7 linked regions of the Cricetulus griseus genome follow. The protein of the gene in region 7 purifies or fractionates together with the protein of the main gene of each other region. This does not show direct contact. Links are inferred from orthologs where the notes say so. Each region holds a gene or a part of one and is shown on either strand. Other genes may lie near its edges. The genes, in order: Iqgap1, Smc4, Znf622, Copa, Urgcp, Zranb1 and Hectd1.

Region 1 (3,500 bases), on a different chromosome or scaffold from region 7:
TGTTCAGCCCCTTTTGTGAAGATACCTGTTGGCCTTGCGGGTGGAGATGGAGGGATGCAGGTCAGTCACTGGATCTCTTTACAGCTCCTGTTGGACCATCAGGACGCCATTGCTCCAGAGCACAACGACCCCATCCACGAGCTGCTGGATGACCTTGGCGAGGTGCCCACCATCGAGTCCCTGATAGGTAATGTTCTTAATGAGCCTCTGAAAAGCTGAGAGGGGACCGCATCAGGGGATTTAGTATCATTGTCTCTCTGATCTTGCGCCATATCAGAGTCTAGATACACAGTGGGGAACAAAACTAATATAGGCCCCACCTTATGAGCACCTGAGTCCAGTGAAATAGCAGATACTTTTAAATACAGAGACAAAAGTAATACAGATAATCAGAAAGTAAGTCTTATAGTTAGATTGTTGACAATTTTTTGAGACAGGGTCTCACTTTGTAGTCCTGTCTAGCTTGGAACTCGATAAGACCAGGCTGGCTTCACACTCCCAAAGATCTACCTCTCTTGGCCTCCTGAAGGCTGGGATTAGAGGTGTGCACCACCGTGCCCAGTGAAACGAGTTTTTCACACTTTTATGAAGTTACTGTGTTATGGACCCTTCTCCTCAACCATTTGCCTCAGTTTCCTTTACTTCTCAGTAACAACTGCTCATCACACTGAAGGGCATTGGTTTATCAAGAGTCATACTGACCTGCATTGTATTTATTTGAATTATTTTCCCTCCAAAGTGTTTTTTTATTACATTGACTCTTTCTACACTTCAAAAACTGCAGGGGAAAGTTGTGGCAATTTAAATGACCCCAACAAGGAGGCACTGGCTAAGACAGAAGTATCTCTCACGTTGACCAACAAGTTTGATGTGCCTGGTGACGAGAATGCAGAGATGGATGCTCGGGCCATCTTACTGAAGTGAGTATTGAAAGGGAGAAGGAAGCGGCTTAGAATCCAGTTCACCTGGAACAACCATCCTGGCCTCTCTTGCCCGTCACAGTGCTCATCACCCTGCATCGTGCTTGGCACAGGACTTACTTTGCTAACATACAATTACAGTCTTGGAACTCCTCCCCTGTACCACCTGCTATAGTTCCCTTGCTCCTTGTGCCAGTAACTGTCCCTCTGGGTGCTGTAGCAAGGCGCTGTGGGGTGACGATGCTTCAGATACTGCTCAGATCCTATGACAAGGAGGTAGAACACACAGCCATGTTCAAACCCATTCCCATCTCATTGCAGCACAAAACGTTTAATTGTGGATGTCATCCGGTTCCAGCCAGGAGACACCTTGACTGAAATCCTGGAGACACCAGCCACCAGTGAACAGGTACACATGAAGGTTTCACACTGGATAAGCTTTTCTATGATAGGTGCATCCCTGGGTGGGGATAGGGGCACAGGGAAGGGATTGGACCCTTGGGTGAGCATGGATCTGGCTATGGAACAGTAGTAAACAGGGCTCATCTGACTGAGAAAGTTGGTGGCTCCTAAATCCAGAAGGTGTTCTTAGGATGAAACATGAGATAGAGAATACAGGATAGATGAGAATTTAATCTGGGACAGAACATGTTGTCTATGTAGTAATTTAATGACTGTCTTATAGTTGTAATTATATGAAGTACCTTGGTTGTGTCTATAAAAGTACAGGGTGTGGCTCCAAACTTTAAGGTCCATTTAGAAAAATTATGATACATGCATCTGAAACCATAAGACCATTAGAAATTAGCTATAGTATTGATTATAAAAATGCCAGGGAACTGGAGACATGGCTTAGTGGTTAAGAGCACTGATTATTCTTCCAGAGGACTCGGTTCAGTTCCCAGCACCCACATGGCAGTTCACAACTGTCTGTAACTCCAAGATCTGACACCCTCACACAGGAATATATGCAGGCAGAACACCAATGCACATAAAACAAAAGTCAAAAAAGATTCCAGAAGTTTCTGGCTATGGTGGGCATGCCTTTGATCCCAAAGATATCTGTGATTTCAAGGCCTGCCTGGTCAACATAGCTAGTTCCAGGCCAGCCAGTGAGACTCTATCTCAAAATAAACAGAAACACAACAACAACAACAAAAAACCCCACAGTTTTTGAGGTGGAGGCCAGTGAGGAACAGTGTATCAGGAAGTCACAACAAAAGAAACAGAACCCAAGCCACACTTAAAGACTGGGAGGATCTGGGTGTGATGGAAAACAAAAGAGCAAATTCTGGGGAAGAGAGCCCACAGGAATAATGGGACCAAGGAGGGAAGAACACAGTGAGATCTGGGGTGAAGATGGGCGGGGTAGTTATGAGAAAAGCAAAGCTGAGGGTGGAATTATCTAAAACTCTAGAGCTCAGACTGGGGTGAGGAGATGGTGATGACAGCCATGGATGATAGCCGTGGATGCCAAAGTCAGAAAAGACGATGAAGTTGTTACAGAATGATCAGTTGGGCTTGGCAGTACTCAATCTCTGCTCAGTTGAGGCAGGAAGATTACCAAGTTCAAGGCCAGCCTGGGCTATCTGGCAAGACCTTGTCTTGGTTGTTTTTTCTTAAAAAGTAAGGGAAAGGGTAAGGAAAGACAGCAGAGTCTAAGGAAGGTTCCTTGATATGACAGTATTTGCAGTGTGCTTGGGAGCAGAGGGCAGCAGGAGCCTGCTCCAGCTCAGGCAGTGTGTCAGGAGCATTAGCAAGATTTCACTGGGCACTGCTATTGGTGTTAATTTGTGTAGTTATGAGCCACATTTTGACTTCAACATCCTAAATTAAGCTGGGAAAAGGTAAAGGATTTCTTAGCTCATAGAATCTAGTTTTCTGGCTACACCTAGTATCAAGAAAGCACAGCATCTGGATTCACAGTTGTACTTTGCTAGGTGAAATGAGGTATCTCACTTTGATGCTGTTCCTTGTCTGGTAGAGAGAAGACATTTACAGCAGACTTGGAGAACTCTGTATTCAATTGCAGATATGCTGTGAGTCCAGGTTTAGGGCTCCTGTGGTGAACTTACCAAAAAGTATTTTTCTTTTCATCTGTAGGAAGCCGAACATCAGAGGGCCATGCAGAGACGGGCTATCCGGGACGCCAAAACCCCCGACAAGATGAAAAAGACAAAACCTGTGAAGGAGGATAACAACCTCAGCCTTCAGGAGAAGAAAGAGAAAATTCAGACTGGCCTAAAGAAGCTAACAGAGCTTGGGACCGTGGACCCAAAGAACAAATACCAGGAACTCATCAACGACATTGCCAAGGTACTGCATGTGGGAACAGTGGTGGCCCGGCCTTGTTTACAGCCGCATCAGGAGCTCATGAACAGACAGTAGCCACTCAGGCCACAGCATAGCTTCTCGTATGCAGAATAGTACAGTCTGACTCTGACATCAGGACTTCAGTAGAGCTTCCAGTGTCTTGAGTTTTTCATTGCCTTTAAAGAATCCTTCAGGGCTTTTTCATAATTGCTATGGAATATATAAAGTTGGTAAAGTTTGTGTGAATCACCCAAACCAGGGTTCTAA
Region 2 (3,500 bases), on a different chromosome or scaffold from region 7:
AAAGTCAAATCGAAACATAAACACCAAGTAAAAGATTTCATCCAAAGACTAATATAAAAATGGAGGGTTCAGAAAACAAAAAAAAAAAACCCAAACATTTTTATGTGAATTATAAAAAGTATTCAACTCAGTAAATTCAATTGATCCATAAATAAGACATTCTCATTGGCAACTAATGTCTACTAAAGATTCATTTACCTTTTCTCCTCTGTTTTCATTTAATAGTTCAACTCTCCGACATAAGACTTTAATAGGTTCATTTAGCCGTCCACAGCCAATTATATCTTCTAAATACTCAAGCATACCCTCATCATGTTCAGTCTGGCCTTTTGGTTTCATCATAGCAATCTGTTCGACTTCACCCTTTAAGAGAGTTACATTCATCCTCATTGTATTCAGTAGCTAAATCTCTTCAGCAAGAATAGGGTAATCCCAACTAAACGATATTCATCAAGTAGGTTTTAGATGTTTTATTCAAGGGGTCTGAAACCCCTTTATATTATTCTTATAAAATTACTGACAACACATATCCACATACAGACACAAAGATACCCTATGTTGTGGTTTCAAGTAAACAAATTTTTCTGTTAAGCAAAATTTGACAGGGTACATTACCAATTATTACTAACAATTTGCTAATGGTCTCTCATTCTAAAATAAGTTTTCAGAGTTCCTTCTAGTTAAACTGTATAAGGAACCTTGCCCAAATGCTTCTAGTTTTACCCTTTATGTAGTTATCTAATTTCTCTATAAACCTAGTGAGTTTGACAAGTGACCCACTTCAGAAAAGATGACTAAAACTTAACAAGCAGTTGTAAACTGGATGGTAGAAATTAATCTCAGGTTCTCTGCAACAGCAGTAACCACCAAAACCACCAAGGATCCTTTCTTTTATCCAGAAAAAAAAAAAATCATAGCACCTTTAAGTTTGAACTTAAAGGACTCTTTCACTCCAAGTTTACAAATCATATAGTAACAGAACAGGGACCACTAAAAGATTACCTGGAGCTGGTAACATTTCATTCACCCTCATAGTTATTGCTACTTTCTAGGTTTTTTTTTTTTTTTTTTTTAGCTAGAGTCTCTCTATGTAGGCCTAGAGTTCAGAGATCAATCAGTCTGCCTCTGCCTCCTGAGAGCTGAGAATAAAGCCATGTGTCCAAACAAAGTTTTGTGGTTATTTATTTATTTTTGAGACAGGGTTTCTCTGTGTAGACCAGGCTGGCCTTAAATTCAGAGATCTCTTGCCTCTGCCTTCTGAGAAGTGGGATTAAAGGCACATGCCTCGGCTACTACCACTCAGCTTTGAACAAAATTTTAACGCACTCCCAGCCTCAATTATTCTGAGAGTGGTGGGGTTGAGTATACAGCTCAGTGGTAGAGTGCTTGCAGAAGGCCTTGCATTTGATCCCTAGCAACAGAAGAGGGAAAAATAAATTAGAAAGGAGCTTGAGTTCTAACTTAATGAAGGCTCTGCTGGGTAGCAAACAAGGATACTGTGATTCAGTTAAACCATTCTTTGATGATCTTATTTACAGGTACCTAGAGCTTAAAAATCTAAGAGAAAGCTGGGTATGGTAGCACACATCTGGAATCCCAGCACTTGCGAAGTGAAATAAGTGCTTTTATTTTCATTAAAATAAATACAGGGGGTGGTGGTGGAAAGATGGCTCAGCAGTTAATAGTACCGACTACTCTTGCAAAGAACCAGGCTCAGTTCCCAGCACCAACATGGTGGCTCACAGCATTCCCTAACCCTAGTTGAAGTTCTGATGCCCTCTCCTGACTACCTTGGCCCCAAGCACATATACAGTAGATGTGTATACAAGTAGGCATTATTAGATATCAAATCCAGAGCCTCATGTGTGCTAGCAATCACTACCACAGATAATATTCCAACCCCCTTGGGCTTTCTAATTTTTGTTTTGCCTAAATAATTTTCATTTTCTGAACTATAACTTCTACCTTCCTCAAGTACAGTTTACCCTAATTTGTTCTACAAGAGGACAACCAAATCCCCAAGGTTAATATCTGTCCAAAGTACACAAGTAAAAAAGAGAATGCTTTTGTGGTTAGTTTTCATATCTATTCTGGGTGCTTAGGGGCAGCCTTCTAGCATGTTTTCCACAGTTGAGCCACTGGATCAGACAACTAGTCAAAAACTTCTTTCAAAATGTAGTCAGGTTTGCTTTTTAGATTTTTTTCCTTATTTCTAGATAAAAAGACGACAACAAATAGTTTATATGCCACGCCTTCTATAAAAGTATATTAAAAAACATGATCAACAAGGTTAATCCACTCTCCAGAGTAGAAAAGTTATAAAAATGTTTTATTTCATAATATGAAGACAAAAAATATACATAAATTTTGACAAAATCCAATTTCTGTTTTTTAAAGGAATTTACAAAATCACTTCCAATACACCAATCTATTAATGCAACTTTGAAGGGTAACTGAAGCATAGGATTGTCACTTCTAACTTGAGTGGAGCAAAAGCATTAACTAATGGAGCAAACCAATAAAATCTAATTAGTTAAGTTTTAGTCACCTATGAAATAATACAGACTAATAAAATCGTTTTTGTTTGGACCATTAATCTTTTTTTTTTTTTTTTTAAGATTTTATTTGTTTATTTGTATACAACATTCTGGTTCCATGTATATCTGCACACCAGAAGAGGGCACCAGATCTTATGACGGATGGTTGTGAGCCACCATGTGGTTGCTGGGAATTGAACTCAGGATCTCTGGAAGAGCAGTCGGTGCTCTTAACTGCTGAGCCATCTCTCCAGCCCCTGGACCATTAATCTTAAAACATCACAAAAATCTCTCCAGTAAGATAGAAAACCAATGGCTAATCAATCAACTGTGACTACTTTTGAAATATACATGGCCATTTATACCTGTCCTCAAGGGTAAGAAATAGGACTTAACCATCTGAATGATCATTGAAATTTTAAATTGATCCGTATACTAGAAATGCTTACTTAAAAAACACAAATCCATAAACGCTGTAAGTTTTTAAAATAAATTTCTAAAATTCAGTGCATCTTAATCTTAAAAAAATTGCTTTTCCTACATTTATATTACATGTGATAAAATCAGTATCACTGTCCAGTCTGTACTGATATTATGATACTGTCTTCAATTTTCTAGCCACCCTAAGCACAGGTGGTAGTTTTTAAGACAAATGTTAGTGATTAGGATAATGAAATAGAAGCTATGATCTTACTTCATGTGCTTTAAATCTCTTATTAGTATAAGCGTCAAAGATTCTGATAAAAAGCTAAGAAAATCTCACAGAAACTACTTCCACTTTCCCTGGAATTTAAAAGGATTCTATGAGTTTTATCTAGCCCAATTTCTCCCTTTTCTTCCTAAAAGGCAAGTTGCTAAAAAGTTCTTATCTAAGTTCAATCAAAAATGTAAAAACTTTAAGAGCACAGAAAGGGTTCAGATAATGAAGACAAATTGAAGGAGCATCTTCAGTGCATCAGAAGC
Region 3 (3,500 bases), on a different chromosome or scaffold from region 7:
ATTTCTCATTCTCTAAAAGCTATGAGAGGTTTTTATGGGTTTTTTTTGTTGTTGTTATTGTTTGTTTTGTTTTTTGATTATATTCACCCTTTTACCATTGTGAATTTTTTTATTAATTAATTAGTTTTTATTTGTTTTACATCCTGACTGCGGTTTCCCCTCCCTCCTCTTCTATTCCTTCCCCTACCTCACCTCAACCCCCCCACCCCATCCATTCCTCCTCTACCTCTCTGGTCAGAAAGGGACAGGCCTCCCATGGGCATCAACAAAGCATGAAGACAGTACCCAGTACAGGGAATAGGTTCCCTCAAAAGCCAGTTCAAGCACCAGGGAAAGACAGGCCCTGATCTCACTGCTAGGGACCCACAAGCAGACCAAGCTACACAACTCTCACATACATAAAGAGGGCCTAGGTTGGTCCCAGGCATACTCCCTTAGCTGTCAGTCCAGAGGGTCTAGAGTCTGTGAGCTCCTACAAGTCCTGACCACTGTGTATTGTACAGACTACAATACATTATAATAAAATTTCCTTACCATCTAAGAAGAATTTTATCCTCAAGGTATTCTCTCTGCTCTAGGCATTAAGGTTATTATTCTGAGATAGTGACAGCTATCTGTACTACACAGTGATACCACATGTGTTTAGCTGCTTAGGTACAGCAAAATAGGAAGCAAGACTTTCAACACATACAATGCTTCAGACATCTTCATTGGCAAGGAGGGTGCCACTACTGCTGTACTATTACTGCAAAACTCCCTACGCAGTGTAGGAAGTCGAGAAAGGCTTGGTATGAGGTCCTGGATAAGTTGCTTAAACATGTTAGTTTCATATGCCAGATGAAGACAAGAGAATCTAATTCACATGGCTGTTGTAAAGCCTGAATGTGCTATGTACTCAGTAAACACCATGTATCTGTTCATATTTTACTATCATCTCCATATTCCCTTCTCTTTCATTTCAAACCATGCCCTCTGTAGCTCCTCCATTCTTACCAGTTAACTGCCACATTTCTTCCTTTCTATACAATAAACAACAGTGGATGCTTTTCATAGTCACGACTCCTTCATCCTCTCATTCCTGGGATAAATTCCTACAATGAGTCTTATTATTTTTCCAAGGGAGGAGGCAGAATTCATCCTCCAAGTCTCTTCTCCAACTACTAGAGATAGGCAACCCAAGCACTGTTATTCAAATATCAACATGTCAAACTATTTTGGAAGCCTGCTACAGTCTGACTATGAGATACTTCCACTATGCTCAGGTTGATCCCCACATAAGAAACTGGAAACTTGAGGTGGTAGGACCCACTTGACAGTAGAGCCCTGGAGCCAGCTCCCTGGAGGCTATTTTATCCCTACTCCTTTTGCCTCACTATCTGCCATGAATGAGGCAAACAGTCACACCACATGGTCCCACAGCCCTTATATTTTTACCCAAACACATTTGGCTAGATGATCATGAACTGAATCTTCTGAAACCATGAACCAAGCTAAATCCTTCATTTAGGGTTTTTTGATCACAGCTATGCAAAGGCAACTAATAGAAAGCCTGGGCTATCAAAGAACACAGGTACCAGAGGAATCATGTCAAAGAGAGGGAGGAATATCACGGAAAGCTAAGAGAAAGCCTAGGGAGATGGCTTAGTTGGTTAAGTACTTGTCATGTAAGCATCAGGACCTGAATTCAGACAGCAAGAACCTAGGTAAAAAGCTGGGGATATTGCCACACAGCTGCGACTCCAGAGCTGGAGGGGTGGATCCCTAGAACTCACTGGCCAGTCTAGCCAAATTGGTGAGCTATAGGTTCAGTGAAAAACTGCCAAATAAGGAGAACAACTGAAGAAAGATGCCTAACATTGACCTCTGACCTCTACTTGCACATGTATACACAGATAGACGAGACACAAGGAATAAGACATACATACATATACACAGAAGGGAGGGAGAGATCATGGGAACTATCAGTCTACATTTAAAAAAAAAAAAAATTTAAGGAAATACCTAGTAAAAATGTTCTAAAGCTGAAATGAAACAAGAAAAAACAACAACCCAGTTTTAATGACAAAGCCAACTTAGAGCTAAGTAGTTACTTTTAAAGTTCACAAGTACTTGAGAACACAAAAAACACTTTAAGGGTCATGATTTTTTTTCCCTCGGTTCAGCAGGTAATTGAAGAAGACATGTTTCTTCCACAACACACCGGCATTAAGCTATTTCTTTCTGACAAATACACTTACCAGAAGGAAGTATCAGCTCCATGGTTTCATCATCGCATTCCAAAGTCTTATCCGAGGACAACTGCTCAATTTCATTAGGGTCCTGCCCCTCCTTGTAATCTGGGTAGCTACTCCTGTAACAGGGAAATAGTCCTAATGAACAGACTTGAATGAACAGACATCTGCACTTACAAATGGAGCAAAACTACCACCAGCTTCAGGGAATGCCCACTGAAAGGACTAAGGGGTAAAACTACCATTAGAATTTCTCTGCAACAAATGTGACCAGATGACCCTTAAGAGGATGTTTGTCCTCTCTCTAGAAAGGTTACCAAATGCAGAAGCCATCAACACAGAGCTGGACATGAAGTTATAGACCAATTAATCACAGCAGAAACAAGTTCTAGAAGACTGCAGCCCTACAGAATTCTGTGACAACAGAAAGACACGTCTACTTGTCACCCATGTTAGTTTTAGATACACGGGGCTTTCAAACACCGAACTTTTTCAAATGCAGACAGTCTGACTAAAGCACTGAATTTTTAACATCTTTTACTTCATTTACGTAGCCACAAGGATATACCTATTAATTACCACACTGGACAGTGTAGTTCTAGAAGAATCTGTTTCTAAATATATCCAAAATTTCATATTTAAATGGACCTAAGAAAATAACTAGAAAGTGATAGGGAGATGGCTCAGTGGGTAAAGTACCTGCCATGCAATTAGAAGTTCCATTTCTAGCACCCACAAAACAGCGAAGCACAGCAATGCCTGCCTATGCCAACAACCCTAGGGAGGTGGGAATAAGAGTATCTATGGAGCTTCCTGGCCAGCCTTCTAGCTGAATGGTGGGCTCCAGGTCCCAGCAAGACCCTGTCACAAAAAATAAGGTGGAGCATGATCAAGAAAGACATCCAACAACTCTGGTCTCCACATGGCATGTGCATATGTGCATTTATTTACCACATGCAACACACACACACACAAAACAATAAACTAATAAAAAAAGTAACTGAAATACACATTGAAATAGTAACAGCTAGACAACCCAATAGAAAATAGATAAAAGACTAAATCAGACACAAAAATACTTCCAAGTAGCTAATTAATATGTAAATGGTTCACAATTACAATGGTCATAATAAAACACAATGTAAAACTATTATATATTCAGCCATATGCCTGAAAAAGAAAACTTACTCTCAATAATGGTGGTATTACAGAGAACACTTTGGTAAACAATTCAACAATATCTTCTAAAATTGCACGTGTGCATGTATC
Region 4 (3,500 bases), about 130 Mb from region 7:
AATTCTATTTGTAGTTTTTTTGTTTGTTTGTTTGTTTGTTTCTACCCCTTTCCACTTCCACATTCTTTAGTTTTAGGGGGAATCCTTGTCAAACTAGGTTTCTTATTTGGGGGATGATTAAATCACCCTATACAATAATAAATACTTGGTCTTTAAAAATATTCATTAAAAATTCATTTTTATTATGTGTATACGCATGTGCACATGTGTTCAAGTGCTGGTGGAGGCCAAAAGAGAGTACCAGATCCCTTGGAGCTGGAGTTACAGATTGGTTATGAGCCCTGGAATGATGTGAGTGCAGGGAATTGAACTCAGGTCCTTTTCAAGAACAGTTAGAACTTTTCACCACTGAGCCATCTCTCTAGCTCCAATACATATATCCTTTAGTCCCCACCCCACCCCAGAAACTAACTTACCATCATGTTCATCAAACTTGTCAATGAGAGTGCACATGCGATAGTCCCATAACTGGATGACCCCATTGTGTAAACTGGTCAGGATCCAGGGTCTTTTGGGATGAAAACTAAGGCCTGGAGAAGAGGGAAAAAAAAGCAGAAAATTATACAATGAGGTAAGGTCCCTGATGTCATCTTTTGTCGAGTCTTATTTTAAAAAGGAACAACTAGATCAACCAGAGGCTATCTATCTATTTCTTCAACATACTTGATAACTTTCCCCCTAATTTTTAAATTATCTCTGTGTAGCTCTGGCTGCCCCAGAACTTCAAGAGTTTCACCTGTCTCTGCTTCCCTGAGTGCTACGATTAAAGGCACATAGTATCATTACCCAGCTGATAGCTAGCTTTTGATTGGACACCAAATACAATAAATCTTACTGTTAGAGATTCCTTTAAACATTGCTGAGCTTTGTTCTGAGGTGTGTCATAGTTGGAATCAGCTCACAGATATTACCTTAAGTTTTGTTACTGTGAGTCTACAGCTGCCTTTATAGTCTAGGTCTAATGTGGAACCATGCTAAGGGAATACCCACCAGAGGGTCTCTATAGGATGCTCAATACTGTCAAGAAATCCTTCTTAATCGATGAGCCATCTCTCTAGCCCCACAGACAATAAAAAATCTTTTTGTTTCTTTCATAGGAGCACAGACTATTTCCAGCTTTGTGTGAGCTCCAGGGACTACTGTTCTGCTTTCTCTTTTCATTCTTCATTTAAAAATTATTATTAAGATTTGTTTTGTGCCGGGCAGTGGTGGCACACGCCTTTAATCCCAGCACTCTAGAGGCAGAGGCAGGCGGATCTCTGTTAGTTCGAGGCCAGCCTGTTCTACAGAGTTAGATCTAGGATAGCTAGGGCTGTTAACACAGAGAAATCCTGTCTCGAAAAACCACACACACACAAAAAAAAAAAAAAAAAAAAAAGGGAAGAAAAGAAAAAAACTTGTTTTTGTATTGTTTTTAATTATGTTTAGGTATGTGTCTGTGTGTGGACATGTACACACAAGTGCAGGTATCTATAAGCCAGATGTGCTGGATCCTCTAGAACTTGAGTTACAGGTGGTTGTGAGGCCCCAGCATGAGTTCTGGGAACTGAATTTGGGTACTCTGGAAGAATACTACTCAGCTACCTCAATTATTATTTTTTTTCTCTTTTTTAAAACAGATAGACCTCACTCTTACATGTAGGCTGGCCTCCAAATCACAATCTTCCCACCTCAGCCTCCCAGTGTAGGATCAGAGGAATGTACAACCACCATAACTATCACTTAATTTTTTAATACATTTTATATGTATTATGTGTATGAGTATTTTGCCTATATGTGTCTATGTACATGACATGCATGCCTGTTGCCTGTGGAGGTCAGAAGAGGGCATCAGATCCTCTGCAACTGGAGTTACAAATGGTTAGGAGCCACCACATAGGTACTGAAAACTGAACCTGGGTCTTCTGCAAGAGCAGCAAGTGTTCCTAACCACTGAGCCATCTCTCCAGTCCCACAACTACCTCTTGGTGGCTCTTTCCTAAATCCTAAAATACTTTTCTCACATGAATGTACCTATCAACACTCTAACAAGGGCCCAGGGAACCAATACAGACCCCAATGCTCTCCCTTTGCTGCTATTTCCCAAGCATATTTTAGCCATCTGTGTTGTTCCAAATGCTGAAAACTTGTTCCTCAGTTAAACCACAGGATTCTTCTTTCTTCCTTCATTACAGGCTGGAATCTCTCTCTAACTAACTGAAACAAACATAGGACTTGCCCAGTTTTATTTCCCTTCCCTCAAGAAATAATCTCCTGGACTCTTTACTAACCACTGTCTGAAACCTTTGTAGTTTGGCTTAGTTGTTTAGCAATTTAAGGCAGGAAAACAAATCTAGTCCTTGTTATTCCATCAGGGTGATAAAAGAACAAACTGGAAGAACAAACTGTTAGCAGTTTGAAGTGTGTCCAGGTTTTTAATGCAGCTACATATAAACACAGGCCTTACTATTTTATGGACATGGAATCATAGGATGCTATTTTGCAAACCTTTCTCACTTAAATATATGACATAAATCTTTTTACACTTCAATTAATGGAAACTCATTCTTTTTTACAACTGTAAGGAACAAAGGCACCATACTTAAAATGTTTAATTACATGTATTTACTATATATGCACATGTGTTTTCATGTGGGCACACATGTATCAGAATGCATGCATGGAAGTCCGAGGAAAACCTATATAAATGTTGGCTATGTATAAAACATTGAAAAAACAAACAAACAAAAACAAAAACAAAACAAAACAAAAAAGAAAACCTAGCAGGTATCAATTCCCTCCTACCATATGGCCTTGGGGACTGAACTTAGGTCATCAGGCTTGGTGGTAAGAACTTTAACCACTGAGTCATCTCACTAGTCTATTGTATTTTAAGCTATTTTGGAGTTGGATATTTACTTTAGTGGGAGAGAGGTGGCTTGCCTAGTGCTGAGTTTAGTCACATACACACAAACACACACAAACTCACAAGTGGAGCATGGTATCACACACCTGTAATCCTGCATCTGGGAGCCTGAGGCCCACATGGGTTATATAGGGAGACATGGTCAAAAAAAAAAAAAGGACAAACAAAACCAAATATAAACAAACAAGAAAACCACCTTATTCTTAGAAAACATTTACATTTCACCTCCAGTTGCTGGCAATCACCACTGCTGAAGCCAGGCAGTAGTGGTGCACACCTTTACTTTCAGGACTCAGAAGGCAGAGGCAGAGGCAGAGAGGCAGAGAGAGGCAGAGAGAGGCAGAGAGAGAGAGAGGCAGAGAGAGAGGCAGAGAGAGGCAGAGAGAGGCAGAGAGGCAGAGAGGCAGAGAGGCAGAGGCAGAGGCAGAGGCAGAGGCAGAGGCAGAGGCAGGAGAGTCTCTGTGAATTAAAGGTCAGCCTGATCTACAGAGTGAGTTCTAGGACAGCCAGGGTCATTATACAGAGAAACCTTGTCTCAAAAACAAAACAAAATAAAAAAAGAACTTTAGGCTAAAGACTTGAAAATGGAATGGCT
Region 5 (4,227 bases), on a different chromosome or scaffold from region 7:
AGGCTGCCCAGCAGACAGAAGAGCAGGCTGAGCAAGAAGAAGGGTGGTGGAGGTAGAGAAGGAAAGCAAAGAAGGAAGGCTGAGCAAAGAAGGCAGGGGAAGCCGGATTAAAAGCTCATGCCTTTATTCCCCCTCGGGAGGCAGAGGCAGGTGGATCTCTGTGAGTTAGAGGCCAGCCTGGTCTCCAGAGGGAGTGCCAGGATAGGCTCCAAAGCTACACAGAGAAACCCTGTCCTGAAAAACCAAAAAAAAAAAAAAAAAAAAAAAAAAAAAAGGCAGGGAAAAAACAGTAGGCTCTGGATACCAGCAGAGTTCCAGAGAACTGTCTTTAGGGGCAATGATATCAAAACCTAGGCCTAAGTGGATTTAAGCACCATGAACCCTAATTTCTGGAGCCTACATATCATAACCTTGTGGGAATAAGGGTGCCAACACTTAAAGCTTGCCCAGGGCTCTAACATGAGAAGGTACTACCTGCTGCTGCTCCCTCTGTCATAACTGCTGTCATTTGCTCTGACCAAACAGAGAGAAATCAAAGTTGCCAAAGACTAGCCCTTGAAGAGATTCTAGTCATTGCCTATGATTCCTATTCAAGTAGAGCAAAAGAACCCTAGCCAGCTGATTAGTAATAGGAGTGAGAACAGTCCAGAAATGGGCAAGATGGTAGCAGATGGGTGAGATCTGTGTCGTGTCTCCTGTCCCTCTCCCCCTCTACACTGCTGTTACAAAGATTCTACAGAGCTGTGATGATGCTGACTGGAAATGCCTTTCAGTGGCAGGCAAAGAGCCCATGGTCCCCACATATTTAGAGACTGCCCCCTCCATGGCTAGCTTCTTCCATCTCTGCCATGTATTGCTCTGCATTTGCTGTCTAAAACATCTAATGTGGTAAGGAGATTTAACGGTAACAGTTGGAGGCAGGGAAATCTCTGTAAGCTTGGGGCCCCAGACCAGCCAAGGCTATATTAGCCAGACCCCAGCTTACAAACAAAAACATTACAGGCAGCTAGCTGAGTGACAGGTCAGGACTCCCAGGAGTCAACCTCTCACCTACCAGAGATGCCTATTAAAGAGGATGCTTGGATGTGAAATCTACAGATATGAACTGCAGTCAATAAGTGTATGCATATCAAACCAAGCACAGTTTTTAAGTCTATTAAAAGTTTTGTGACCTCGGTTTTATTAACAGACTCCCCTTAGAAAATTACAAATTAATATACACCCTGACTTCACTGGGTCACTCACAACAACCAGAACGACAAACATTAAATACCACCCACTATAAAGACAGACCGTGGTTCAGGCATTACTGGCCCACAGAATTATTGATCCAACAGGAGGTCCTCCTCTGACTCATGTCTACAAAGCAGTGTGCTTAGACACGAAATGTGCTAAGACTTCTTACAAGCCTAATGGAAGCCCCCCAAAGGCTCAAACATTTTCATGGTGCTTCCAAGAGGCCCTGTCTTACACTTTCCTAACAGGCAGCGCAAGAATGAAGAGGGACCTTGAACCTCTGGGTCCATCAACCTGGCCTTTCCAGGATGGGTCACTGTTTATTCTCCTTATGAGCTCAAAGTGCTAGATACTCTGCTGGCAATGAAAAGGCCGGCTCCCAGAAGTGCCCGCTGGTCCTCAAGCCTAGAAAGGCATTAGGCAGGTGGAAATTGCCCATGATCTGGCTGGCGCCTGCAGGCCTGGATCAAGTTCAGATTGCTTCATTCACCTTCATTCAGACCACTGTACCCAGCCAAATCACTCCACAACACAGTGCAGACCTTCTTTGTAGGAGGTTTAACTTCTACATGCTCCACCCCAAAAGTCCTCCTGCACCTGTAAGCCCTCTGAACTGCAAAGATACACTACTTGAATTACTACTACCAGTACTGCTGGGTCTAAGATCCTCTGAATGATGGGGTAGAGTCAAAAAAGATGTTTACCAACTAAAGCTATGACCTTGAGTCCCATTTTCCTTTACGTGACATAAAAGCATTAGTCTAATTATGTCATTTCAGTTCTCATAACTAGTAAAAGGGCTGAGATAGTTTTTCATCAAATAAATACAAACTGTAGGTGTTACTGTAATTTCCTAAGAAAGAACATTTTAAAAGAAAAAGCACTAGAAAAGAGGTAATACCAGAACAAGTGTAGCCATCCCACAGAAGCTCCCACCCCCACTCAAGCACAAGCAGGGCCTTAGATCCCGGATCCGCTTTCCGACTCTGGACAAGGGTCCAGCTGAGTCCCCCATACCCTGACACTGACAGTGAACCCAAGCATCAACTTCAAACGCAATCAAGTGCAAACGCCAGAAACACACGTCAGGCCTGCTAAGCCTCCCTGCGGCCTCAGCCGAGACCTAGGACCCCGAGTCCCCTCCCTCAGCCTCCCGGCTGCGCTGATGCAGGCTCCATCTCTCGGACTCCCTGGCCCTGACAGACCGCTGTCCTGACTGGTGCCGACCGCGATCCTGCAGGGAGACCCTGGCCCGGTCCACGACCGCCCAAGGTCGGCGGGGGAGGCCGCGGGTCGCGGACAGGCACCTGACGGGACAGGGTCACCTGGGGTCCGGCCGAGGCTGAGGCAGAGGGGGCGCCGGGTCGCGGACACGCACCGCTCGGCCCGCCCCTCGCCCAAGAGGCGCCCCCTGCGCAGCCGGAGCGCCTCACTCACCCGGGCGACGCCATGAGCGCAGCGGCCTGGGCGCTCCCGCCTCCTCCGCTGCTTGCGCGGCTGCCGCTGGGCGCCGGGGAGGGGCCTGCAGGCTGCCCCCGCCCGCTCCGCTGGGGCGTCCGGCGCCGTGGGCCGAGCTCCGGGTGGAGGGCAGGCCGGCGCCTGGGGCGAGGGAGAAGACGCTCAGGGCCCGAAGGACTTGCGACAGCAGCCTCTAGCCCGGCTCGCTGCCCGGAGGCCGGGATTCACCTGCGGAGCCAGACCTGCCCCGGGGCCACTGACTGGCTGCCAGACGGCGAGAGGGACGTCACCCCCAACCTCCGCAATCTGATGTTAATTTCTGTAAGAAAAGCACTTTCTCTAGCTCTCGGGTATAAAGTGTTATTACTGTTATTAAGGAAAACAATGAGCTGGGCGTTGGTGACACACACCTTTAATCCCAGCACTAGAGAGGCAGAGGCAGGCGGATCTCTGTGAGTTCAAGGCCAGCCTGGTCCCCAGAGCGAGTGCCAGAATAGGCTCCAAAGCTACACAGAGAAACCCTGTCTCGAAAAACCAAAAAAAAAATAAAAAAAAAGGAAAACAATGTCTTTCCTGCTACTAGTTGGCAGTGGTGTTTTTGTGTACTGGCTGGCTTCTCAACCGGTTACCCCTTTTAACTTTACTTAGGACGAGGGTGACTAGTAAGCTTTATATGTTATTACTTAAAAGTATAGAGTTTGGAACTAGTGTAGTGGGATTTCCTACAAGCTATGAATACTTGGACACCTAAATTTTTGAGCTTTGGTTCCAGTCCCTGCCAAATTAGTTCCCAAACTAGTATCTTCTAAGAGAAAATACCTAATAAAAAGCTTTGGACCATGCAGTGCAAACCACTGCTGATGGCATTTTTGTGTTATCACATTAAGCTTATTTATTAAATTTTTTTTCAAAGCCGGGCATTGGTGGCGCACGCCTTTAATCCCAGCACTCGGGAAGCAGAGGTAGGTGGATCACTGTGAGTTTGAGATCAGCCTGGTCTACAAGAGATAGTTCCAGGACAGCCTCCAAAGCCACAGAGAAACCCTGTCTCAAAAAACCAAAAAAAAAAAAAAAAAAAAAAAAATCATACAATATATTTTGGTCATATTTTTTCCTCCCAGATCCTCCCCACCTTCCTAATTTTCTCTCTCTCTTTGCTTTTATTGAGACAGGTTCTCACCATGTAACACCGACCTGGCAAGAACTCCATGTGTAGAGCAGGATGGCCTTGAATTCACCAGAGTTCTGTCTGCTTGTTTCTACCTCCAGACTGCTGAGATTAAAAGTGTGCACCACCATGTGGTACAGGACCCAAAATTAATATTCTTTTCACCACTAAAAATATAAAACACTAAAGAGATTAACCCTTTGTTCAGATGCGAGAATATCTAGGCTGGAAACTGGCTCCACCAATTTATTAGCTATAGTTGCCCAAGTAGAGGGAACCTCTCAAGGGCCACGGTTCCTCATTCCCTTCTTCTTTATGAGGGTTAACTAAATGAATATTCAATTGTTACAGGGCCTCTTTCCATC
Region 6 (3,500 bases), on a different chromosome or scaffold from region 7:
ACCTCATGCTGTCTTACTCTAATAAAATGCTTCTACCTGGCTCATTTATGTGCTCTCTTACTACCTCTTCTCACCCTTGTACTAGACTAACAACCTCAAATGATTCAGTCCAGCTCAAATATAAATATAAGATCACTTATGGCCACTTTTAAGAAACAGGCAGAGTAAGTCCCAAAACTACAATTATTAGCAACAAATTAAAGAGTAAAAAATAAAAGCCTCACAATTAGGGAAAGGGGTAAATCAACTACTAAAATTCACAATTTACTTACAGCCTTACTAGATAAGTCAATTACTAGGAAGGAAACATTCCCAAGCTGCCTTGGGTGATGTGTTTGGTTCTGTATGAAGAAAAAAAAATTTTTTTTTTTTTGGTTTATTGAGACAGGGTTTCTCTGTGTAACTTTGGAGCCTATCCTGACACTCACTCTGGAGACCAGGCTGGCCTCGAACTGACAGAGATCCACCTGCCTCTGCCTCCCGAGTGCTGGGATTAAAGGCGTGAGCCACCAATGCCCGGCATGAAGCAAAAATTTTTGAGACAGGGTCTTTATACATAGCTGAAAGGTGGCCTTGAATTCAGTCTTCCTGACACTTCCACTCAAGATACTGGGGTTACAGGTATACCAGACCAGTATGCCCTGATCCAGACTGCTTTTCAAATCAGATTTTGCCACCATAGTCCAGATCTGGCTTTCCAGCTAAGAAGCTAAATTTCATCAGCAGCAAAGAATATATCCATCCTACAGGGCAATCACATTAAACTTACAAGGCAGACCTATAAAGAAAAGCAAGCAAACAAAAAAAAGCTGCCATCTCAAAAACCAAACCAATCATACCACCACACTATAGGCAGACAAACGTATACATATACTCTCCCCGCCCTCGTTAAAAATAAAGATTTTAAATTTTTTTATGTAAGACAGGTTGGAGAGATGGCTCAATACTTTTTTGGTTGCCTGGGGGTTTTTTTGTTTGTTTGTTTTGAGACAGGGTTTTTCTATGTAGCCCTGGATGTCCTGGAACTCACTCTGTAGACCACACTGGCCTCAAACTCACAGAGATCCACCTGCCTCTGCCTCCCAAGTGCTGGATTAAAGGTGTGTGCCACCACTGCCTGGCTGAGATGGTTAAATAGTTAAATATTACTTGCTGCTCTTTCAGAAGACCCAGGTTCAATGCCTAGCACCCACATGACAGCTCAAACTGTCTATAACTTCAGTTCCAAAGGATCCAATAGTCTGGCTTCCTTGGGTACCAGACACATACATGGTGCAGACACAGATGCAAGAAAAATGCTTATACACATAAAAAAATTATGTATGAGCAGAAAAGTAACCCACTATTATAAGGAAATGATCCAGCAAGCTCAGTTCTAAACTGAAACAGGAAAGGTTCCAGCTCACCAATGTGAACAGTCATGCAGGCTGTCATGCAGGGCTTTCCGAAGCACCGAGTCTTTGTCATAAATGCCCCAGGTAGCTTGTAGTACTGAGTCAAGTAAACAATCTCCAGCAGTCCGGTTCCAAAGTGCATAAAGTCGACTGTCCAAACGCGTAGCCAACTCCAAGGACCAGTTTATAATTGGAGATTCCTCCTCTAGCTCTAAAAGGAATTTAAATAATACATTCAGTTTCATGCCTACACAATTATAAAGTATTTAGTGAGCTGAAAATATGATCTATATGAGAATATTTTATATTTTATTTATTTAGTTTTGGGTTTTGGGGATAGAGTTTCTCTCTATAGCCCTGGCTGTCCTCGAACTCACTCTGTAGACCAGGCAGGCCTCAAACTCAGAGATTTACCTGCCTCTGCCTCCCATATGCATATGCCACCACTGCCCAGCTTATATGTAATTTATTAATGTAAACTTTCCAAATATGTGAAACATATTTTGTTTCTGAAATAATTTACTCAACTTCCAAATTCTTTACAATTTTGTTTTCTAAAAATGTGTTTTTTAAAAAAGATTTATTTATTTATTTATCACGTATGCAGTGCATGCCAAAAGAGGGCACCAGATCACATTACAGATGGTTATGAACCACCATGTGGTTGCTGGGAATTGAACTCAGAACCTCTGGAAGATCAGCAGTCAGTGCTCTTAACCCCTGAGCCATCTCTCCAGCCCCCCAAAAATGTTTAAAAGAGAAATACATAATTCTAGAGTAAGTAGCAGAAAATTAAGGTTTTTAAGCTTTAATTAATATATGTATTTGTTCATGCTATCACAGACAAAGGCTGTAGATATCTTTTTTGTTTTGCACTGTTGTTCAGAGTTGTGGGTCAAATCCAGGGCTTTGCATGAGACAACTATGATACTGCTCTCAATGACTCTGCATTTTTAATTTAAAAGAAGGCAAAACAATTACATAGTAAACCACTTCCTACATAATAAAAAATGAAATAGGCTGGAGAGATGGCTTAGAAGTTAAGAGTTAAGGGTACTCTTCCAAAGGTCTTGAGTTCAATTTCCAGCAACCAAATGGTAGTTCACTACCATTTATAAAGAGATCTGGTACCCTCTTCTGATATGCAGGCATACATGCAAGCAGAATACTGTATACATAATAAATAAATCTTTTAAAAAAATAAGATAAAAATACAACAGCTAACTGATTGGATAAAAGATAAATTATATCATTCATCATCCACTTACCTTTTTGAACATCTCTATCAAGTACCTCATCAAATAATTTTTCTTGAACTGTTGGAGGCAAATCTTCAATATCTGCACAGAAAAATCAGGCTTAAAAGTTGTTCTCCTGTTTTAAAACTTAATAAATAAATGCCAGCTTCTAATTAAAAATGTTTCCTTTCTACTGAAGTTGTCAGATATCTATGTTTAATGTCGTATGTAACATGGCTATGCAGAGAAATCCTTTTTTGAGTTTCACTATTAAAATTCTTAGTTAATATAAAAAATAACATGTAAACAAATACTTAAGATTTTTATTTGTGCTTTCTCTTTATATGGGCTGCTTCTGCACAAACCTACTTTTTTCTATTTGTTTGTTGGATTGTTTTTTGTCCCATGCTCCCCCCCCCACTCCCCCCAAACCCCACAGGGTTTCTCTGTGTACCCCAACTGTCCTGAAACTTGCTCTGTAGACCAGTCTGGCCTGGAACTCATAGATCCATTGGCCTCTGCTTCCCAAGTACTGGGATTAAAGGTGTACACTTTATTAAACTTATTAAACTGTTATTTTCAAACATAAGAGAAATTTTCTCATAAAAGTTAATGAACTGTATGCACTTTGACATACAGTGTTTTTGTAACCTTCTTCAAGCATTCTATGTTCAGGTTACTTAATAGAGCACTCTAGTGCAATAAAAAGCATTACCCTTAAAAGCCTGGGGGGGGGAGAGGGGGTCAGTGGTTAAGAGAAGTGGCTGTTCTTGCAGAGGACCCCAGGTTCAATTCCCAGCACCTACAGGGAAACTGATGCCCTCTTCTGACCTCTGAGGGCACCAAGCACACACTTGATGCACATGTA
Region 7 (4,037 bases):
TTTGATGTGGATCTAAAACTTCTAAAAAACAAAACAAACTTTTGCGGGTGAATCTCTTGCGCAGCTGTGGTTGAAAAAGAGTAGCCTAGGTCTTTGCATAGATAGTCTATTTTCATTGCTATTTTTTGTTCAAAGGATGAATTAAACGAGCGTTCAGTAAGGAGTGTTAGGCATATCTTAGTAATCTCGAAAACCAAGGGGCTCTAGATATAAGAGGTATGTTTGCTAATGGCATCATAATGGATCTCCATGTCTGCCCCTAGAGGCAGGTGCATTTTCTCCTCTTCTTCCTCCTCCTTTACCCCACCCCCCTTCACCACTGCCGCCACGAGAGTAGCCTAGACAAGTCATGACCTCATTATGTAGCTAAGGATGACCTTGAACTCCAGGTCCTCCAGCCTCCAGGTCCCTAGTGTCACAGTCATTGGCGGATGCCACTCCCAGCGGCCAGTCTTTATTTTTCCAATGTCCGTGAAATAAAAGTTCGAAGGGGGAAAGCTATGGAAGCACTAGTGACCACAAACCGCAAGAAAAAGAGTTGAGAGCCCTCGGGGCTGCTGCTTCCCGGGACTCCGAGGGGGGCCGCCAGGAGGCACGCGTCCCATCTGCACCGAGGCGATAACGCCGAGCTGGCTCTCCCAGGCTCGCCGTGGAGCGTCCTGGTAAGCCGCAGGGCTCTCGTCCTCAGGCGGACGCGGGGAGGGGGTGACCCGAGAGCCCACACGGTGGCCTCCGTTCCGCCGGACTCCGGAGTGGCCCGCGCCGGGCGAGGCGGGCGGAGCGTGCGCGAACCAGCTGCCGGCGGCGCGCGCCGATTGACAGCGCGGCGAGGCCGGCGCCCGGCGGCCTAAGGAGAGCCGTAGCCGACCGCCCCAGGGAGCCCGGCCGTCGCGCCGTCGTCGCCCCGCTCCGCCGGCCGGGCCTCCGCAGCGCCCCAGGTGGCCGCGGGCAGGGCGGCCGGGAGGCGTTCGCCGCCTCCGCCGGCGCGGCCTTCGCCAGCCTCCCCGCCCGGCACCCGGTCGAGCCTTCCCCTGCCCCCGCCCGGCTGGCGATGGACGCGGCCTCTCCCCGCCGCCGCCGGCAGCTGCGCGCGGGCCTCGCTTTGAACCGCAGTGCCTGAGGAGCCGCGTGCCGGGGGTCGGGACCGCGCTGGCTGCCGCCGCTCCGGAGGACCTCTCGCTTCCTTGTCACCGGGTCCCCGCGGAGGAAGGGGAGGGACGAGACGCGGCTTTTCCTGTGCCGCCTGCCTGGCTCGACCTGCGCGGCCTGCGGCTTCCTGGGAACTCGAAGGCCGCGGCCGGGCCTGGCTCTGCCCGCGGCCTGCTCGGAGCTGGACCGGAGCTGTTTGGGACGGCGAGGCAGGGTAAGAGGCTGCGGGGAGGGCAGGCGGGAGCGCTCGGCGCCGTCGGCGGGCTGGGCCTGCGCGAGGATCCGGGCGGCCGAGCTCAGCGGCGGGCGGGCGGGCGCGGAGCCGGACTCAGGCGCGGTGAGGTCGGCGGTCCGCCGACGCCGCCGCTGGGTCTCGGCCCCTTTGTTTCCCTCCCCGGGCCCTACGGGGCTTGGCTCGCCGGCGCCGGAGCTCCGGCTGCGCTCCCCTTGTCCTTGATGCGGCTCTGCCGCCCGCCCGCCGGGGACCGGGGACGTCCCGCTGGGCCTCCGAGTTCCGGGAGCCCCGCAGCCCGGCCGGCCGCTCGCCCGCTCCCTCTCGAGCACTCAGGCTGGCTGCTGCTCCAGAACTTCGCCCTCCTCCCGCAGGCTGGGAGCTCACTTAGCCGGCTTGGGTGTCAGCGGCTCGGCTCCGGCCTCAGGCAGGCCGAGGATGGTGGGGCAGCCCCGCCGCGCGCCGCCGACGGCTGCCCACCGCGACCCGCCTCTCGGTTCCCACAGCGGCAGGTGGATGGCGTGGGACCCCAGGCCGTCCTTCGGTCGGACCTTTTGTAATGACTCACCTACCTAGACTACTACTCGATTTTTTTTTTTTTTAATAAAAACTAACTGCCCCATCTTATGGGAAACTAGAGCGGCCTATTTTTTATTTTTATTTTTATTTTTTGCGCGCGGGGCGGGGCGGGGGGACTTGGTAAGCTGTTGGTTGCATTTACTTTAAGCATTAAAAAAAAGTTTTAAGAACACTTGCCAAGACTGCCAGAAGTTCAAACGAGTATTTACCACCACCCCCCTCCCCGGGAGATTTCATATCTGATTACTGTTTGTATTTAGACATATTTCGGAGTAAGTTTGATAATTAAGAATTTGTGAAGTTGTTGGGAAAGGAGAAATTCAATTTGAAGGAGAATTGATCAAAATGTGTAATTTCCTTAAAAGTACTGGATGTGACCCGTGTGGGAAGTCCAGGTTTTTGTTTTGTTTTTCGAGGGTGGGGGGTGGGGGTTGCAGGGAGAAGTTCTCTGGTAAAAGAACTTTTTTGTGGGTGTTCTTTGCTTTTTGGCACAGACATTGGTGATAACAGTAGTGGGATCCAATGCTTGTTTCACTGTTTGACGAAGACAGCTCTAGTTTCTAGTTAACTAGCAACCTAATCAGCCTATATATACTCTTCTGTTCAACTCTTTTGTGTTTAGTGTATCTGAACATTATGCCCTGGAAGTAGAGGGAAGTTAGAAAATGCTACATATAGTAGACTTTTTGAAATAATACAGGAGTTTTGAAGTTTGGAAAGTTTTTAAAATCATGTATATTTATTTATTTTTGTATGTGTGCAGGCATGTACATGCTATAGCTCACATATGGAAATCAGAACAACTGTCCATGTGTCCGTGTCCGTGTATGTATGCATACTAGTTTGGGGACCTTACAAAACTTGGTTCTAGAAGATGTAAAGGAAAAAAGTGTAAACATAGGCCGATCAGTTCTGAGTACTTGAAAAATCCTTTTCCTTTTGAAATTTAGGCAAAGAGGCATTTTAAAGACCATGGCCGATGTGGATCCTGATACGTTGCTGGAATGGCTGCAGATGGGACAGGGAGATGAAAGGGACATGCAGCTGATAGCCCTGGAACAGCTCTGCATGCTGCTTTTGATGTCTGACAATGTGGATCGGTGTTTTGAAACGTAAGTGCATTCCTTCATCATCTTCCTCTAGGGTCGCTCCAGTGACATCTGTTTCCAACCATTTGCTGAGTTTGGTTTGTGTGAAAACTTCACTAGAGAATTTTAAAAAGTCCTTTTAGACATTTCTGAAGTTGTCTGTTTACTTTGCTGAGAAATAAAAGGTGTCAGGAAATGGAACCCTACTAATGATATAATTGTGATTATGTAAATACATATTTGTTGAATGAATGTGAATTAGGAGTACTAATATTAACCCATAGCTTGGTTGAGTCAGTTATGAAACATCTCATAAATTGAGGAGAATATTCTCTTTAAAGCTGTTTCTATACCATATGACTGACTGATTAGGAGAATAAGATTAGAACTGCCTGTTTCTTTGGTTTTCATATGTCATTGTGCTTTTGTTAAAATAAATTTCTGGTTTGTAAATTTTATTTTGAGAAGATACATTGGTTGCTACATAGAGTGTATTTGTGTTTGTGTGTGTGCATGCCATGGTGAGCAGCAAGGAGAGGACAGTTTTTGGGAATTGATTTCTCATTTCAGTATGTAGGTTCCAGGATGGAACTTAAGTTATCAGGGTTTGTGGTAAGTACCTTTACCAGCTAAGCCATCTCAACACCCCAAATTTGGACAGTCTCTCTCTCTCTCTCTCTCTCTCTCTCTCCCTCCCCTCTCTTCCTCTCTCTCTCTCTCTCTCTCTCTCTCTCTCTCTCTCTCTCTCGTGTGTGTGTGTGTGTGTGTGTGTGTGTGTGTGTGTGTGTGTCTGTGTCTGTCTGTCTGTCTGTCTGTCTGTGTGTCTTTTTTTTTTTTTCCAGACAGGGCTTCTCTATTGCTTTGGAGGTTGTCCTGGAACTCACTCTGTAGACTAGGCTGGCCTTGAACTCACAGAGGTCCGCCTGCCTCTGCCTCTCCTTGGGACTAGAGGCATGCAACACCACTGCACGGCTTCTTGTATGATTTTA

The links.
Region 1: the proteins of Hectd1 (region 7) and Iqgap1 purify together in Homo sapiens (affinity purification with mass spectrometry; 3 studies listed by BioGRID, with this or other methods). This does not show direct contact. The link is inferred for Cricetulus griseus from reciprocal best matches to the Homo sapiens genes HECTD1 and IQGAP1.
Region 2: the proteins of Hectd1 (region 7) and Smc4 purify together in Homo sapiens (affinity purification with western blotting; 3 studies listed by BioGRID, with this or other methods). This does not show direct contact. The link is inferred for Cricetulus griseus from reciprocal best matches to the Homo sapiens genes HECTD1 and SMC4.
Region 3: the proteins of Hectd1 (region 7) and Znf622 purify together in Homo sapiens (affinity purification with mass spectrometry; 4 studies listed by BioGRID, with this or other methods). This does not show direct contact. The link is inferred for Cricetulus griseus from reciprocal best matches to the Homo sapiens genes HECTD1 and ZNF622.
Region 4: the proteins of Hectd1 (region 7) and Copa purify together in Homo sapiens (affinity purification with mass spectrometry, with the first as the bait; 3 studies listed by BioGRID). This does not show direct contact. The link is inferred for Cricetulus griseus from reciprocal best matches to the Homo sapiens genes HECTD1 and COPA.
Region 5: the proteins of Hectd1 (region 7) and Urgcp purify together in Homo sapiens (affinity purification with mass spectrometry; 4 studies listed by BioGRID and IntAct, with this or other methods). This does not show direct contact. The link is inferred for Cricetulus griseus from reciprocal best matches to the Homo sapiens genes HECTD1 and URGCP.
Region 6: the proteins of Hectd1 (region 7) and Zranb1 purify together in Homo sapiens (affinity purification with mass spectrometry; 5 studies listed by BioGRID and IntAct, with this or other methods). This does not show direct contact. The link is inferred for Cricetulus griseus from reciprocal best matches to the Homo sapiens genes HECTD1 and ZRANB1.

The regions. Positions count from the first base shown.
Region 1 is NC_048596.1:116,873,817-116,877,316, forward strand, and holds part of Iqgap1 (ras GTPase-activating-like protein IQGAP1), read left to right. Parts: intron 1-84; coding exon 85-187; intron 188-784; coding exon 785-920; intron 921-1,241; coding exon 1,242-1,329; intron 1,330-3,023; coding exon 3,024-3,236; intron 3,237-3,500. UniProt on the Homo sapiens protein: Plays a crucial role in regulating the dynamics and assembly of the actin cytoskeleton.
Region 2 is NW_023276806.1:84,126,028-84,129,527, forward strand, and holds part of Smc4 (structural maintenance of chromosomes protein 4), read right to left. Parts: intron 364-3,500; coding exon 199-363; intron 1-198. UniProt on the Homo sapiens protein: Central component of the condensin complex, a complex required for conversion of interphase chromatin into mitotic-like condense chromosomes.
Region 3 is NC_048595.1:356,781,660-356,785,159, reverse strand, and holds part of Znf622 (zinc finger protein 622), read right to left. Parts: intron 2,351-3,500; coding exon 2,238-2,350; intron 1-2,237. UniProt on the Homo sapiens protein: Pre-60S-associated cytoplasmic factor involved in the cytoplasmic maturation of the 60S subunit.
Region 4 is NC_048598.1:20,771,943-20,775,442, forward strand, and holds part of Copa (coatomer subunit alpha), read right to left. Parts: intron 531-3,500; coding exon 417-530; intron 1-416. UniProt on the Homo sapiens protein: The coatomer is a cytosolic protein complex that binds to dilysine motifs and reversibly associates with Golgi non-clathrin-coated vesicles, which further mediate biosynthetic protein transport from the ER, via the Golgi up to the trans Golgi network.
Region 5 is NW_023276807.1:99,078,049-99,082,275, reverse strand, and holds the start of Urgcp (up-regulator of cell proliferation), read right to left. Parts: upstream 2,801-4,227; 5' UTR 2,688-2,800; coding exon 2,674-2,687; exon of another isoform or gene 1,953-2,673; intron 1-1,952. UniProt on the Homo sapiens protein: May be involved in cell cycle progression through the regulation of cyclin D1 expression. May participate in the development of hepatocellular carcinoma (HCC) by promoting hepatocellular growth and survival.
Region 6 is NC_048596.1:67,864,160-67,867,659, forward strand, and holds part of Zranb1 (ubiquitin thioesterase ZRANB1), read right to left. Parts: intron 2,735-3,500; coding exon 2,663-2,734; intron 1,606-2,662; coding exon 1,407-1,605; intron 1-1,406. UniProt on the Homo sapiens protein: Ubiquitin thioesterase, which specifically hydrolyzes 'Lys-29'-linked and 'Lys-33'-linked diubiquitin. Also cleaves 'Lys-63'-linked chains, but with 40-fold less efficiency compared to 'Lys-29'-linked ones.
Region 7 is NC_048598.1:150,459,279-150,463,315, forward strand, and holds the start of Hectd1 (E3 ubiquitin-protein ligase HECTD1), read left to right. Parts: upstream 1-1,237; 5' UTR 1,238-1,363; intron 1,364-2,910; 5' UTR 2,911-2,932; coding exon 2,933-3,072; intron 3,073-4,037. UniProt on the Homo sapiens protein: E3 ubiquitin-protein ligase which accepts ubiquitin from an E2 ubiquitin-conjugating enzyme in the form of a thioester and then directly transfers the ubiquitin to targeted substrates.